3 linked regions of the Saccharomyces cerevisiae S288C genome follow. The main gene of each other region encodes a partner of the protein of the gene in region 3 in a complex. Each region holds a gene or a part of one and is shown on either strand. Other genes may lie near its edges.

Region 1 (4,101 bases), on a different chromosome or scaffold from region 3:
CAAAACTTCGTGGACGTTTGGGAAATCCATACCACGGGCTCCCACATCCGTACAAACCAAAATACCGGATTCATCTTTTTTGAATCTTTTAACTAAACTTGTTCTTTTATTTTGAGTAATTTTACCATGAAATTCCAAAATTGGTAAATCTTTCTTAAATTCATTCTTTAAAATACTGCACAAAAAGGATGTGAATTTAACAGTTGGTGCAAAAATAATGGCTTTGTAATTAGAATCTCTTTCCTTTATTTGTTTCTTTATATGCTCCACAGCAGCAAATATACTATTGGCAAACTTTTCTGAAATGACGACAGACTGATCAATTCTTTCATGTGCTTCAGGTTCATTCTTATCTACTGTGTCTAAAAAGAGACATTCTTTTTTATTCATGATATTGTTTGCCAACTTTTGTACTTTGTCGTCCAGAGTAGCAGAGAACAACAAAGTCTTGATATTATCGGCTGATTTGGAGTTCTTTTCATTTAAAATACCAGAAATAGTTTCTAAATCATCCCTGAATCCAATTTCTAGCAATCTGTCAGCTTCATCTAGCACTTTGTAATCTACGAACCTAAAAAATTTGTTGGAGTATTTTTCCAAAACATCAATCAATCTCCCTGGAGTGGCAATTACAATGTTTGGTCTCAACTTATTCATTTTATTCATAGCTGCCCTGAAGTCAGTACCACCAACTAAAGAGACACAAGCGTACTTTTTCAAGCCATAATTCATATCGTGGATTTTTTTCACCTCTGCTTCGATTTGCAAGGCCAAATCTCTTGTTGGTGCGACAATAACAGCTTTTACCATATATTGAGAATCGAACTTCGTATTTATCAAATGCTGGAAAATTGGAATCAAGAAGGCAAATGTCTTACCTGTACCGGTTTTAGCTCTTGCGATAACATCATGGTCTTCACTGGATAATATTGGTTTGATAGTCTTTTGCTGTACAGGAGTTAAACCGGGAAATTCCATCCTGGTAATGGCTTTATGTATTTCTTTATCAAGGACTCCTTCCTCCAGTAAAGAGTCCAGCGTTACTTCTTTACTATTATCTTCTTTTGGGACGTGAATTAGTTTGGAAAAAGTGGTCTTATCAAAGTGCACTTCATCATCGTCTTCTCTAGACCTTGTCCTTGGGCGAGAATTGAAACGGGAGTTTCTATACCTGTTACTGTTGTTGTTTCTCTGATTCCTACCAAAATTTCTTTGATCTCTGTTTCCATCATTGTATAATCTTCTTGAAACAGCCCAAGTAATATGGTTGCAATTCGAGAGAGCTGCTAATAAATTTCTGCTTGCAAGAACAGGTGTGCGACCTTTTATCAATATAGAGGTCAACATTTATCAGCCTAACGTGCAACTCTGGTATTTTCTTGCCACTCTGAGACACCATAGTGGCCATCAATACTTCCCTTCTTTTTATAGGAAAATTTTATTCTTTCTATAATATCACTACAGACGGAGAATGAAACAGATGATGATTGAAGCATCCATAAGTAAAGACACTTTGAGGTTGCTAATTTGCTTTTTTGAAATAAAACAGTGCCATATATCACTCCAGCCTACTTGTTATTATCAGAATTGGGTACGGTATTCATCTATATATTACCAGTTGTAAATCACGATATATCACGATACACGACTCTCCGGCGCCAGCGTTTTTCGTCAGTTTTTCTCAAGGCGGTATAAAAAATCGATGATATTCGATTGAGGCACTTGTTAACAAGCATACACTGTTGGAGGCAGAACAAAACAAGCATAACTCTTTTGTACTGTATTGTACTCTACCGCTCTGTATCACGTCGGCACACCAACGGTTTCTTTTGGCGGGTCTATTATATATATTATATATACTTTTATCAAGACATCGTGTGAGTAAGTGAGGTTAAAGCTCAAAAACCTACAAGCAAAGGCACAAGGAAATCGAAAGGACCAAGAAAGGAAAAGAAAAGAAACGATACGATAAGTAAAGACACTGTGGAAGAATTGAACAATGTCAGCACCTGTTCCTCAATTAGTAAATATTTCTCATGCCTTGCAAGCTTCCACTATCCAGCAAATTCGTTTGGATATGGTAGATTTTAATAAAGATTGCAAATTATCTTCCATTCAACTGGCAAGAATTGACAAGTATATCGATTCTTTGCAAGCGGCTTTGAATCAGTTTACCAAAGATAACTTGCACATAGAACGGAAGGAAAAGAACGTGACTGAAGCAGATATACAGCTGTATTCTGGCTTAAAATCAATGTATCTAGATTATTTGAACCAGCTAATTAAACTAAAGCATGAGAAACAACACCACTCTACACCGCCCATCGCTAATGATGTCTCCCTGGACTTCTTCGTTAACCAATTGCCTAAGTTTTCTCCCGAGGAAAGGAAAAATTACATTGACAATTTAATCCTGAATAAAAATAGCCATAATCGATTATCTAAAATGGATGGTCTGGTAGATGCAGTCATCAATTTATGCGTCTTGGATACTTCCGTTGCTGAAAATGTACGATCCTATATGAAATTATTAGATACATTGGGTTTCCAAAAGGGTTCGAATAGTACTGGTACAAAGGCCAACCTCAAAAAGAAATTGGCTAGTTCGAAAGCAAAGATAAAGGATTCAGAAAAAGAAAAGGAGAAGGAGAAGGATAAATCAAAAGTCAAGATGAAAACTAAATTAAAACCTTCTCCTTTGCTCAATAACGATGACAAAAATTCTTCTCCATCGCCTACTGCATCTACCTCTTCAATGAAGAAATTGAAGTCGGGTTTATTCAATAAAAATGAAGCTAAGTCTACAGAATCTCTACCTACTTCTTCCAAGAAAAAACTATCATTTTCTAAATATCTGAACAAGGATGACGCAGATATGACCAAGCTTGGGACTAAACGGTCAATAGATGTGGATTTCAAAGTCAACCCCGAAGCATCCACGGTGGCTTCTAATATCATATCTTCGTCAACGTCAGGATCGTCAACCACAACGGTAGCGACTCCTGCTTCTTCAGAAGAGCCCTTAAAAAAAAAAACCAAAATATCCGTGCAAGACTCTAATGTACAATCGATTTTGAGAAATGGTAAACCGAAAAAAGCACGCATAAGTAGCATCAAATTTTTGGATGATTCCCAACTAATAAAAGTTTACGGTGACGATCTACCGAACCAAGGGCTACAAGTTTCTCCTACTCAATTGAAAAAAATTCTGAAACCATTCAAGGAGGGGGAACCGAAGGAAATTATATTGTTCGAGGATATGTCAATCAAATTAAAACCTCTTGATTTGATGTTTCTGAAGAACACAAACAGTGATGACTATATGGATATATCCGAGACTAAAGGTGGCCCAATACATTGTGAAACAAGGACCCCGTTGATCTATAGAAAAAATTTCAATCATTTCAACCCGGACTTGAATAAAAGGCCGCCAAGAGAACCCATAGAATTCGACTTAAATGGAAATACGAACTCAACCCCGACTATAGCAAAGGCTTTCGGTAAAAATAGTTTATTACTAAGGAAGGACAGAGGTGGTTTGCCATACAAGCATGTCCCCATAGTAAAAAGAAATAAATATCCTCCAAGACCAGTACACTAAGCTATGACATGCTGATACATAAACATGTAGTATATATACTCATTTTATATAATGTAATTATAAGATATCAACCTTATACCGCTGAAGACTTTTTATTTTGAAGTTTTTTCATCAGTAATCTGGACATGACGATGCTACTGGCACTTACGGCCCCAAAAGGTGGGAAATACTCCAAAACAGTTCTTAATTTACTAGGTTGGATTTTTTTTACAACACTTTCAATCTGTTCGTATAAGTCAACCAATGTGCTGTTATTTTGTAGGATATAGTCAGATCTTGCCATCCTTTCTTCAGTGCTCATTTGACTATTTAGCCTGTTTTTTGCATCTTCTTCACTAAGTTCAGGATTTCTTGTCATTAATCTTTCTAGTTGCAATTCTTGCGTACAAATTACGCTTACAGTCACTCCGCATATTGAATCCAGATTTCCTTCAAATAAGAGTGGCACATCCAATACACACATTCTATATCCCTTCAAGTAATAGTAGCCAATTTCTTTG
Region 2 (3,929 bases), 110 kb from region 3:
AACTGGATTTGCTCAACCGGTGCGAATCAGATCCTACGGTCAGTTTTTTGGAGCCCATTGTAACTTCTTTTAGTATATCTGTGTCAATAAAGGTACAGATTGCATGAACTCACACTTCATGTAACTGTCAGACGTAATTCTCGAGATAAACGTCTCGTTGAAGCTTGTTTTGTTATATTTGTCAATCCTGGGTCCCCTATTCCGTCAGAAAAAAAAAAGCCTAAATATCTGGCCGAAACTCGGAAAGGAAAAGGTTCCGTTCCTTTCCCAGCCAATTTAACTATGCCTTCAAAGGTATCATCCTGACATCCAGCTTGTAACACAAAATTCTCACCTAATGGTAAAATGTCGCTACACGCGAAAGAGCATATGTAGAGAGAATCTCGTAAACGTTTTACTGCTTCGTAAAAAAAGTACTTTGATTCAAAAAAAAGGGTACAAATTTGTTTATGACTGATTAACCTATATTAATAAACTATTCAACTATAAATAGGAATGTCTTAGTTTACGTCAACAGCTGCGGTTGTGCCATTGATGTTGTCACCTGAAGCAGCATCTGATTTAGATCTCTTCACGGTTTCATGTCTAGCATCTAAATTCTTCCTTTTACTCTTCTTTGATGGTCTCTTTTCATTTTCATCGAAAACTTCATCTGGCAAATCGTAACCCTTTACGAAGCGGAGGGCTAGATTGAATACTTTGTGGTCACCATAATCCTCATTGAAACTTCGACATAAATTCACAAATTCAGTGCAGGGAATGTGAATGTCAACTTTTTCCTTTTTGTTTTCAATATTAAAGTCAAGGCCTATGTACATGGTGCTTAAATATGCCTTTGGTGCATCTTTAATACTTTCTTCCTCTTTATTTTCATCTGTTACCAGTTTAAGGGCGTTCAGTGCTGTCTCAGTTTTATGACTACCGTATTTGTCTTGAATCATTTCATAGTCATCCTCGGTTGGACAACAATAACTACTTTCAAAGGGTTTGGTGAAAGGATGTGCAATTTTTATTCCAGCTAACACCTCCAGTTTCATAACTAGAAGCCTTACCTTACTTTCAACAAGACCACTCCATTTTAAATGCTGCTCGTCACTGCCCCTTGTATATGCAGTAATTTCTAAATAGAACTTGTATCGAAAGAAAAAATCGTTTTTTTCGAATAAATTGGCCCAGGACTTCTTATTGGAAAAAATATCATTCGTAATTTGAACGCCTCTTACGAATTCCTGTAAAATGACTTTTTTAGTAGATTCCGTGATGTTATGGGTAGCACACATTGATGGATAAGCTGGTGTAATGACGGGCATTCTATGAGACCTGTCTTGGGCATATATCTTTGGATTCCATACACGAACTTGTAACGGGCCATCCTCAATTGGTTTCAAGATAACAGGTTGTGGCCAATTCCATTCCGACAAAATGATGAAAAATCTGTTCAATATAACTGCGCTACAGGCGTTAGGGTATAGTTGACAAATTCTAGCCACTAGCATGGCCCAAGCCACACCACCAGGAAAACCAAAAATATTAGCATAAACAGCCCTTCTTTGGGCCCATAGCTTAATAGCTCTTAAAGCGATTCTGAAAACATTCGGCTTTGGTACCAGTTCTAATATCTCATCTGTTACTCTGGTACCATTCAAAGCTCTCAAGTCCTTCTCGTCTAGATTTCGCAGTAGATTTTTATCTGATAAAGTCAAGGATAAAGGCACTTGAGGTTGGTCTAGACGTGCACAGATTAAATCGATAGAAATACCACTGAACTTTATCTTGATAATCGGGACAAACGCATCAGGTACAGGTGCAATTTCATCCAGTTCCTTCCTCTCTCTCAGTAGTGAATCAAATACCGTAAAAAAATCTTCCCGAGTTACATGTTTTGGAACAACTACCAAAGTATCGATATCACTACCAGGCCCATGGACTCCTAGTCTATAGGACCCATACGTAAAAATCTTCCCACCAGCATCCCTTGCCATCCCGTCTGACATATTTTTCTTCTTCGATACTTCATAAACAAATCTTTGTGCCAATTCCTGCAATATTTTCAACACTTGTACCCTATTGGCAGTTTCTTGCTCTGTTTCGAACGATCCTTCCTTTTTCAGTTCTTGGATTAAACTATCATTTAATTTATTTTCTGCTGCTGTGGCGCCCACGGTGGAAACAGGTCCAGTAATACCAAAAACCTTTTGAGAGCTCATTATTTGTCTAAAAAAAGTTTATGCGTTAAATATTTTGCTAATTCTAGGCCTCTTTTGATTCAAAAAAGACCGTTTAAAGACTTGCTCACAGTGAAATTATTTAGCTAGTTTAGTGTCTTTAAACTTTTGCTAAAACGTTTCACTTGAAAAATCGTTCTAATATCGTCCAGAGGATAGTATGATAGCTTCAGAGAATTCGATAGATACTTGAATCCTCTAATAGTCGAAAAATGCTCGAGGGTAAACCACTTGTGCGCTTGGACTGGCCTAGTTTCCAAAACCAATGTTCTAATGGATTGATTTCTTCCCCAAACATTATTAAGTGGCCGGGTCACCCAAAGACTTGGGCGCCGTTGATTCGCGTCGCTTTGCCATCAAGAGAACAACATATCTTCCAAGACAGACCGAGATAATTCATCTATTTACTCCTAAAAAAGAATTAGAGAGGCCTTTTATAGCACCAAAATAAGGACCGTACGAAAACTGCACATTTTATATTATCAGATATCATGGATGAGCATTTAATTTCTACTATTAACAAGCTTCAGGACGCTTTGGCGCCCTTAGGAGGAGGATCTCAATCTCCTATTGATTTACCACAGATCACTGTTGTCGGTTCCCAGTCGTCAGGAAAGTCGTCCGTTTTGGAGAACATTGTTGGTAGGGATTTCTTGCCAAGAGGTACTGGTATTGTCACCAGGAGACCTTTAGTGTTACAATTGATTAATAGGAGACCAAAAAAGTCAGAACATGCTAAAGTAAACCAAACTGCTAATGAATTGATTGACTTGAACATCAACGATGATGACAAGAAAAAGGATGAATCAGGAAAGCACCAGAACGAGGGACAATCTGAAGACAATAAAGAGGAATGGGGTGAATTTTTGCATTTACCTGGTAAGAAGTTTTATAATTTTGACGAAATTAGAAAGGAAATCGTCAAAGAAACTGACAAAGTGACAGGTGCCAATTCAGGTATTTCTTCTGTGCCCATTAACTTGAGAATTTATTCTCCGCATGTTCTTACTTTGACGTTAGTGGATTTGCCTGGGTTGACGAAGGTTCCCGTAGGTGACCAACCTCCTGATATTGAAAGACAAATTAAGGACATGTTGTTAAAGTATATTTCGAAACCAAACGCTATCATATTATCTGTTAATGCCGCTAACACCGATTTAGCCAACAGCGATGGTTTGAAGCTGGCTAGAGAGGTCGATCCAGAAGGAACGAGAACTATTGGTGTCTTGACAAAAGTCGATTTGATGGATCAAGGTACAGATGTCATAGATATTTTGGCTGGAAGAGTCATTCCTTTGAGATATGGTTATATCCCAGTTATCAATAGAGGTCAAAAGGATATTGAACACAAAAAAACAATCAGAGAAGCCCTTGAAAACGAAAGAAAATTTTTTGAGAACCATCCCTCTTACAGTTCTAAAGCTCATTACTGTGGTACACCATATTTGGCTAAAAAGTTAAACTCAATCTTATTACACCACATTAGGCAAACTCTGCCAGAAATCAAAGCGAAAATCGAAGCCACATTGAAAAAATATCAAAACGAACTTATAAACTTGGGCCCAGAAACTATGGATTCAGCTAGTTCGGTTGTTTTGAGCATGATTACTGATTTTTCCAATGAATATGCCGGTATCTTGGACGGTGAGGCGAAGGAGCTTTCCAGTCAGGAACTTTCTGGTGGTGCTAGAATTTCTTACGTAT
Region 3 (7,582 bases):
AGTTAGAGTTCCTCATTTCCTTTTCTATGTATCACCCCAGTTCTCAGTTGTTTTTTTGGAAGATGGCGGTTTGTTGGGTTTAAAAAAAGTTGACGGCGTACATTACGAGCCTTTACTATTCAATGATAATTCATACTTGAAAAGCCTAACGCGATTTTTTTCTAGGAGTTCTAAATCGGATTACGATAGTGTGATTAGTTGTAAATTATTCCATGAAAGATACTTAATTGTGTTGACTCAGAATTGCCACTTGAAAATTTGGGATTTAACTTCATTTACTTTAATACAAGATTATGATATGGTTTCACAGTCAGATTCAGACCCAAGCCATTTTAGAAAAGTGGAAGCTGTAGGGGAATACCTTTCCTTGTATAACAATACTCTAGTTACATTGTTGCCTTTGGAAAATGGGCTTTTTCAAATGGGCACCTTGTTGGTTGATTCAAGCGGTATTTTGACTTATACTTTTCAAAATAACATCCCCACTAATCTTTCAGCTTCTGCTATTTGGTCAATTGTAGATTTAGTTCTAACGAGACCATTGGAGTTGAATGTCGAGGCTAGTTATTTAAATTTGATCGTTTTATGGAAAAGTGGCACTGCTAGCAAGTTACAGATACTAAACGTAAATGATGAAAGTTTCAAAAACTATGAATGGATAGAATCAGTTAACAAATCCTTAGTAGATTTGCAATCCGAACATGATTTGGATATCGTTACAAAGACTGGAGATGTTGAGAGGGGTTTCTGTAATTTGAAATCAAGATATGGTACCCAAATTTTTGAACGTGCACAGCAAATATTGAGTGAAAATAAGATTATTATGGCTCATAACGAAGATGAAGAATATTTGGCTAATTTAGAAACAATATTGAGAGACGTAAAAACCGCATTCAACGAGGCTTCTTCTATAACACTTTATGGCGATGAAATTATTCTCGTCAATTGTTTCCAACCGTATAATCATTCCCTTTACAAGCTGAATACTACTGTGGAGAATTGGTTTTATAATATGCACTCTGAAACTGATGGTTCTGAATTGTTCAAGTATTTAAGGACATTGAATGGTTTTGCTTCTACTTTGTCAAATGATGTTCTTAGATCCATTTCTAAGAAGTTTCTTGATATAATAACAGGAGAGCTGCCTGATTCTATGACTACCGTAGAAAAATTTACGGACATTTTCAAAAATTGCCTAGAAAATCAATTTGAAATCACAAATCTAAAGATTCTTTTCGACGAATTAAACTCTTTTGATATACCCGTTGTTTTAAATGATTTAATCAATAACCAAATGAAGCCTGGTATATTTTGGAAAAAGGATTTCATCTCTGCAATCAAATTCGATGGTTTCACAAGTATAATTTCCCTAGAATCTCTTCACCAGTTACTTTCCATACATTATCGTATTACTTTACAAGTATTGTTAACATTCGTTCTGTTCGATCTTGATACCGAAATTTTCGGACAGCATATATCTACATTATTGGATTTGCATTATAAGCAATTTTTATTGTTAAACCTTTATAGACAAGATAAGTGTCTGTTGGCGGAAGTTCTTCTCAAGGATTCTTCTGAATTCTCTTTCGGTGTCAAATTTTTTAACTACGGCCAACTCATTGCCTATATCGATTCCTTAAACTCTAATGTTTACAATGCTTCCATCACTGAAAATTCTTTCTTTATGACGTTTTTCCGCTCATATATCATTGAAAACACATCTCATAAGAATATAAGGTTCTTTCTCGAGAACGTTGAATGCCCCTTCTACTTACGCCACAACGAGGTGCAAGAATTTATGTTTGCCATGACGTTATTTAGTTGTGGTAATTTCGATCAATCCTATGAAATTTTTCAACTACACGATTATCCGGAGGCTATCAATGATAAATTGCCGACATTCTTAGAAGACCTTAAGAGTGAAAACTATCACGGTGATAGTATATGGAAAGATCTTTTGTGCACCTTTACAGTTCCATATAGGCATTCTGCATTCTATTATCAATTATCTCTCTTATTTGATAGAAATAACAGCCAAGAATTTGCTTTGAAATGTATATCTAAGTCAGCAGAATATTCATTAAAAGAAATTCAGATTGAAGAACTGCAAGACTTCAAAGAAAAACAGCATATTCATTATTTAAATCTTTTAATCCACTTCAGAATGTTTGAAGAAGTCTTGGATGTTTTGAGATTGGGTCACGAGTGTCTTTCCGACACAGTAAGAACAAATTTTCTCCAATTATTATTACAGGAAGACATATATTCACGAGATTTTTTCAGCACACTTCTGCGCTTGTGTAACGCACATTCAGACAATGGCGAGCTATATCTTCGTACAGTAGATATTAAAATAGTGGATAGTATTCTGTCACAAAATCTACGGAGTGGTGATTGGGAGTGTTTTAAGAAACTTTATTGTTTTAGAATGTTGAACAAAAGCGAGAGGGCTGCTGCAGAAGTACTGTACCAGTACATATTAATGCAAGCTGATCTTGATGTTATTCGAAAGAGAAAATGTTACCTAATGGTCATCAACGTTTTATCTAGCTTTGATAGTGCATACGATCAATGGATTCTAAACGGAAGTAAAGTGGTTACTTTAACTGATTTAAGAGATGAGTTACGAGGTCTATAGTGAATATATAAACTGTAAATTAATACTTCATTTAAAAAATTGATCAACTCAAATCCGAATATTAGCACCATGATCTTCGTTTGTTTTTTAAGTAAAAAGATTGAACTTTAAATCTAAATTATTATTACATGAATGTACAGACAGGAAAAATAAAAAACAAAAACAGAAGAATCACAAGTTCCCTAATATAAAAGAATACAAAACATTATTTCATGACACTGTTCCTAGAGCTTGTATTAAAAGCGGTAGAAGAGAGGAGATAATAGAGAAATTTCAATGTAACTATTGGTCAACAAAGCATCCGGGCATATAGCATAGATATTACTCGCTCTTTTTTGAGTTACATGCCACAATCCTCAACTTATCCACCGAAATTACACTTTGGCTATCTCCAGACCCGTTCTGGGAGGCGTCGCGGTGGCTGTCCTCAACAGTAACCTGACAATTTTTTACGATAAAAGTCCAAACATCATCGCAAAATCCATATGTGTCCAGGTTTCCTTTCACAGTCAATTTAGATTGGGTATTGTCTTTTAAAGTCTCAGCCACCACTTTGTCAAATGTCTCTAAAACACGCATAGCTAACGACGCTTCTATTCTCCCATCACTAATTAAAGTATCAAGAGCATCCACCAAACTATTCCCTATAGTACTTCTACGATATAATTCGTAATACCCGGGTACTGCCATTTATCCTTACTGTTATCTTCGATAGCCTGTGTCCCCCTCCTAACCTCTAAGTGCATCTTCTACTTATTCCTTATTCGGTCGAATATTTCACAAAGTATTCTAAGGCGTTAAGAAAATATTGTTATTAGTAAAATTAGCTTACCCGGCAATACAACAATAATGAAGCTAACATTATGTTGTATTGACAATTCAGTTCATGTTTGACATTTGCCTAGCAGAAGACATTATCTGCCATGCAACCTGAAAATTCATAGAACTTTTGGAACTTATTTATCTATCTTTCTTCAATTTCTTTGGTTAACACTTTTTTTTTATGTTTTTTTACGTTTTGAGATCATAAATATTTGGAAATATAAATAATCACAAATTCATAACAACTCTTTTTTTAGATAAAGTAAAAACACAGTTATGTATGTAAAGTATTTTAAAACATAAAAAAGGATGATCGACTTGATATATTCATTATCATGTAGTGTATAAGCGGTAAATATAACTACCTTAATCCATTGCTGGTGCAATAACCTTCCTTATGCCATTATATTATGTCACAACATTGTAATTCAGGCGGGTAACTTTACTGAAAGTTAATACAATGATGATGAATATCAAGCATATTGTTAATAACCAAGTTTATGGCCAACATAAAATAAGCAAGAACAATCAAGAGGGTACTGAAATTTCGGTAGCTCTCATCATATCGGCAGAGACTGGAATAGTGTAACATGAGTAGCACGATATTTTACCGCTTTAAGTCTCAACGAAACACATCAAGAATTTTATTTGATGGTACCGGCCTGACAGTATTTGATTTGAAAAGGGAAATTATTCAAGAGAACAAACTAGGTGACGGCACAGATTTCCAATTAAAAATTTACAACCCAGATACAGAAGAGGAATACGACGATGATGCCTTTGTTATACCTAGATCTACTAGTGTCATAGTAAAAAGATCTCCAGCAATTAAATCATTCTCCGTACACAGTCGACTTAAAGGGAATGTGGGAGCAGCAGCTCTTGGGAACGCAACAAGGTATGTTACTGGTAGGCCAAGAGTGTTGCAAAAGAGACAACACACTGCTACAACCACTGCTAATGTTAGTGGTACAACGGAAGAAGAAAGAATTGCTAGTATGTTTGCCACACAAGAAAATCAATGGGAACAAACGCAAGAAGAAATGTCTGCAGCCACACCTGTTTTTTTCAAGTCACAGACGAATAAGAATTCTGCACAAGAAAACGAAGGCCCACCGCCACCAGGTTATATGTGCTATCGTTGTGGGGGTAGAGACCACTGGATTAAAAATTGTCCAACTAACAGCGATCCAAATTTTGAAGGAAAAAGAATCAGAAGAACCACAGGTATTCCAAAGAAGTTTTTAAAATCCATTGAAATAGATCCCGAGACAATGACACCGGAAGAGATGGCTCAGCGAAAGATTATGATTACGGACGAAGGCAAGTTCGTGGTACAAGTTGAAGACAAACAATCATGGGAAGACTACCAAAGGAAAAGAGAGAACCGTCAAATTGATGGTGATGAAACCATTTGGAGAAAAGGCCATTTCAAAGATCTTCCTGACGATTTAAAATGTCCCTTGACAGGTGGTCTTTTGAGGCAGCCGGTAAAGACAAGCAAGTGCTGTAACATAGATTTCTCAAAAGAGGCGCTGGAAAATGCACTGGTAGAGAGCGACTTTGTATGCCCCAATTGCGAAACCCGCGATATCCTTCTCGATTCTTTAGTACCCGACCAGGACAAGGAAAAGGAGGTCGAAACGTTTTTGAAGAAACAAGAGGAACTACACGGAAGCTCTAAAGATGGCAACCAGCCAGAAACTAAGAAAATGAAGTTGATGGATCCAACTGGCACCGCTGGCTTGAACAACAATACCAGCCTTCCAACTTCTGTAAATAACGGCGGTACGCCAGTGCCACCAGTACCGTTACCTTTCGGTATACCTCCTTTCCCCATGTTTCCAATGCCCTTCATGCCTCCAACGGCTACTATCACAAATCCTCATCAAGCTGACGCAAGCCCTAAGAAATGAATAACAATACTGACAGTACTAAATAATTGCCTACTTGGCTTCACATACGTTGCATACGTCGATATAGATAATAATGATAATGACAGCAGGATTATCGTAATACGTAATAGTTGAAAATCTCAAAAATGTGTGGGTCATTACGTAAATAATGATAGGAATGGGATTCTTCTATTTTTCCTTTTTCCATTCTAGCAGCCGTCGGGAAAACGTGGCATCCTCTCTTTCGGGCTCAATTGGAGTCACGCTGCCGTGAGCATCCTCTCTTTCCATATCTAACAACTGAGCACGTAACCAATGGAAAAGCATGAGCTTAGCGTTGCTCCAAAAAAGTATTGGATGGTTAATACCATTTGTCTGTTCTCTTCTGACTTTGACTCCTCAAAAAAAAAAAATCTACAATCAACAGATCGCTTCAATTACGCCCTCACAAAAACTTTTTTCCTTCTTCTTCGCCCACGTTAAATTTTATCCCTCATGTTGTCTAACGGATTTCTGCACTTGATTTATTATAAAAAGACAAAGACATAATACTTCTCTATCAATTTCAGTTATTGTTCTTCCTTGCGTTATTCTTCTGTTCTTCTTTTTCTTTTGTCATATATAACCATAACCAAGTAATACATATTCAAAATGGGTGTTGAACAAATCTTAAAGAGAAAGACCGGTGTCATCGTTGGTGAAGATGTCCACAACTTATTCACTTACGCTAAGGAACACAAGTTCGCTATTCCAGCTATTAACGTCACCTCTTCTTCTACTGCCGTCGCTGCTTTAGAAGCTGCTAGAGACAGCAAGTCCCCAATCATTTTGCAAACCTCTAACGGTGGTGCTGCTTACTTCGCTGGTAAGGGTATCTCTAACGAAGGTCAAAATGCTTCCATCAAGGGTGCTATTGCCGCTGCCCACTACATCAGATCCATTGCTCCAGCTTACGGTATCCCAGTTGTCTTACACTCTGACCACTGTGCCAAGAAGTTGTTGCCATGGTTCGATGGTATGTTGGAAGCTGATGAAGCTTACTTCAAGGAACACGGTGAACCATTATTCTCCTCCCACATGTTGGATTTGTCTGAAGAAACCGATGAAGAAAACATCTCTACTTGTGTCAAGTACTTCAAGAGAATGGCCGCTATGGACCAATGGTTAGAAATGGAAATCGGTATTACCGGTGGTGAAGAAGATGGTGTTAACAACGAAAACGCTGACAAGGAAGACTTGTACACCAAGCCAGAACAAGTTTACAACGTCTACAAGGCTTTGCACCCAATCTCTCCAAACTTCTCCATTGCTGCTGCTTTCGGTAACTGTCACGGTTTGTACGCTGGTGACATCGCTTTGAGACCAGAAATCTTGGCTGAACACCAAAAGTACACCAGAGAACAAGTTGGTTGCAAGGAAGAAAAGCCATTGTTCTTGGTCTTCCACGGTGGTTCCGGTTCTACTGTCCAAGAATTCCACACTGGTATTGACAACGGTGTTGTCAAGGTCAACTTGGACACTGACTGTCAATACGCTTACTTGACTGGTATCAGAGACTACGTCTTGAACAAGAAGGACTACATAATGTCCCCAGTCGGTAACCCAGAAGGTCCAGAAAAGCCAAACAAGAAGTTCTTCGACCCAAGAGTCTGGGTTAGAGAAGGTGAAAAGACCATGGGTGCTAAGATCACCAAGTCTTTGGAAACTTTCCGTACCACTAACACTTTATAAGTTAATTCAAATTAATTGATATAGTTTTTTAATGAGTATTGAATCTGTTTAGAAATAATGGAATATTATTTTTATTTATTTATTTATATTATTGGTCGGCTCTTTTCTTCTGAAGGTCAATGACAAAATGATATGAAGGAAATAATGATTTCTAAAATTTTACAACGTAAGATATTTTTACAAAAGCCTAGCTCATCTTTTGTCATGCACTATTTTACTCACGCTTGAAATTAACGGCCAGTCCACTGCGGAGTCATTTCAAAGTCATCCTAATCGATCTATCGTTTTTGATAGCTCATTTTGGAGTTCGCGATTGTCTTCTGTTATTCACAACTGTTTTAATTTTTATTTCATTCTGGAACTCTTCGAGTTCTTTGTAAAGTCTTTCATAGTAGCTTACTTTATCCTCCAACATATTTAACTTCATGTCAATTTCGGCTCTTAAATTTTCCACATCATCAAGTTCAACATCATCTTTTAACTTGAATTTATTCTC

What was found. Proteins that work in one complex are often made in the same cells at the same time.
Region 1: MPE1 (region 3) and REF2 share a complex: the UniProt entries of both Saccharomyces cerevisiae proteins name them as parts of the cleavage and polyadenylation factor (CPF) complex.
Region 2: MPE1 (region 3) and PAP1 share a complex: the UniProt entries of both Saccharomyces cerevisiae proteins name them as parts of the cleavage and polyadenylation factor (CPF) complex.

The regions. Positions count from the first base shown.
Region 1 is NC_001136.10:846,600-850,700, forward strand, and holds REF2 (RNA-processing protein REF2), read left to right. Parts: upstream 1-1,999; coding exon 2,000-3,601; downstream 3,602-4,101. Other genes in the region: MSS116 (ATP-dependent RNA helicase), read right to left, coding at 1-1,347; YDR194W-A (uncharacterized protein), read left to right, coding at 1,472-1,624; CAB5 (putative dephospho-CoA kinase), read right to left, coding at 3,675-4,101. UniProt on the Saccharomyces cerevisiae protein: RNA-binding component of the cleavage and polyadenylation factor (CPF) complex, which plays a key role in polyadenylation-dependent pre-mRNA 3'-end formation and cooperates with cleavage factors including the CFIA complex and NAB4/CFIB.
Region 2 is NC_001143.9:441,510-445,438, reverse strand, and holds PAP1 (polynucleotide adenylyltransferase PAP1), read right to left. Parts: upstream 2,208-3,929; coding exon 501-2,207; downstream 1-500. Other genes in the region: oxysterol-binding protein OSH6, read right to left, coding at 1-58; dynamin-like GTPase VPS1, read left to right, coding at 2,717-3,929. UniProt on the Saccharomyces cerevisiae protein: Polymerase component of the cleavage and polyadenylation factor (CPF) complex, which plays a key role in polyadenylation-dependent pre-mRNA 3'-end formation and cooperates with cleavage factors including the CFIA complex and NAB4/CFIB.
Region 3 is NC_001143.9:325,912-333,493, reverse strand, and holds MPE1 (cleavage polyadenylation factor subunit MPE1), read left to right. Parts: upstream 1-4,050; coding exon 4,051-5,376; downstream 5,377-7,582. Other genes in the region: NUP120 (Nup120p), read left to right, coding at 1-2,638; TOA2 (transcription initiation factor IIA subunit gamma), read right to left, coding at 2,960-3,328; fructose-bisphosphate aldolase FBA1, read left to right, coding at 6,007-7,086; BLI1 (Bli1p), read right to left, coding at 7,382-7,582. UniProt on the Saccharomyces cerevisiae protein: Component of the cleavage and polyadenylation factor (CPF) complex, which plays a key role in polyadenylation-dependent pre-mRNA 3'-end formation and cooperates with cleavage factors including the CFIA complex and NAB4/CFIB.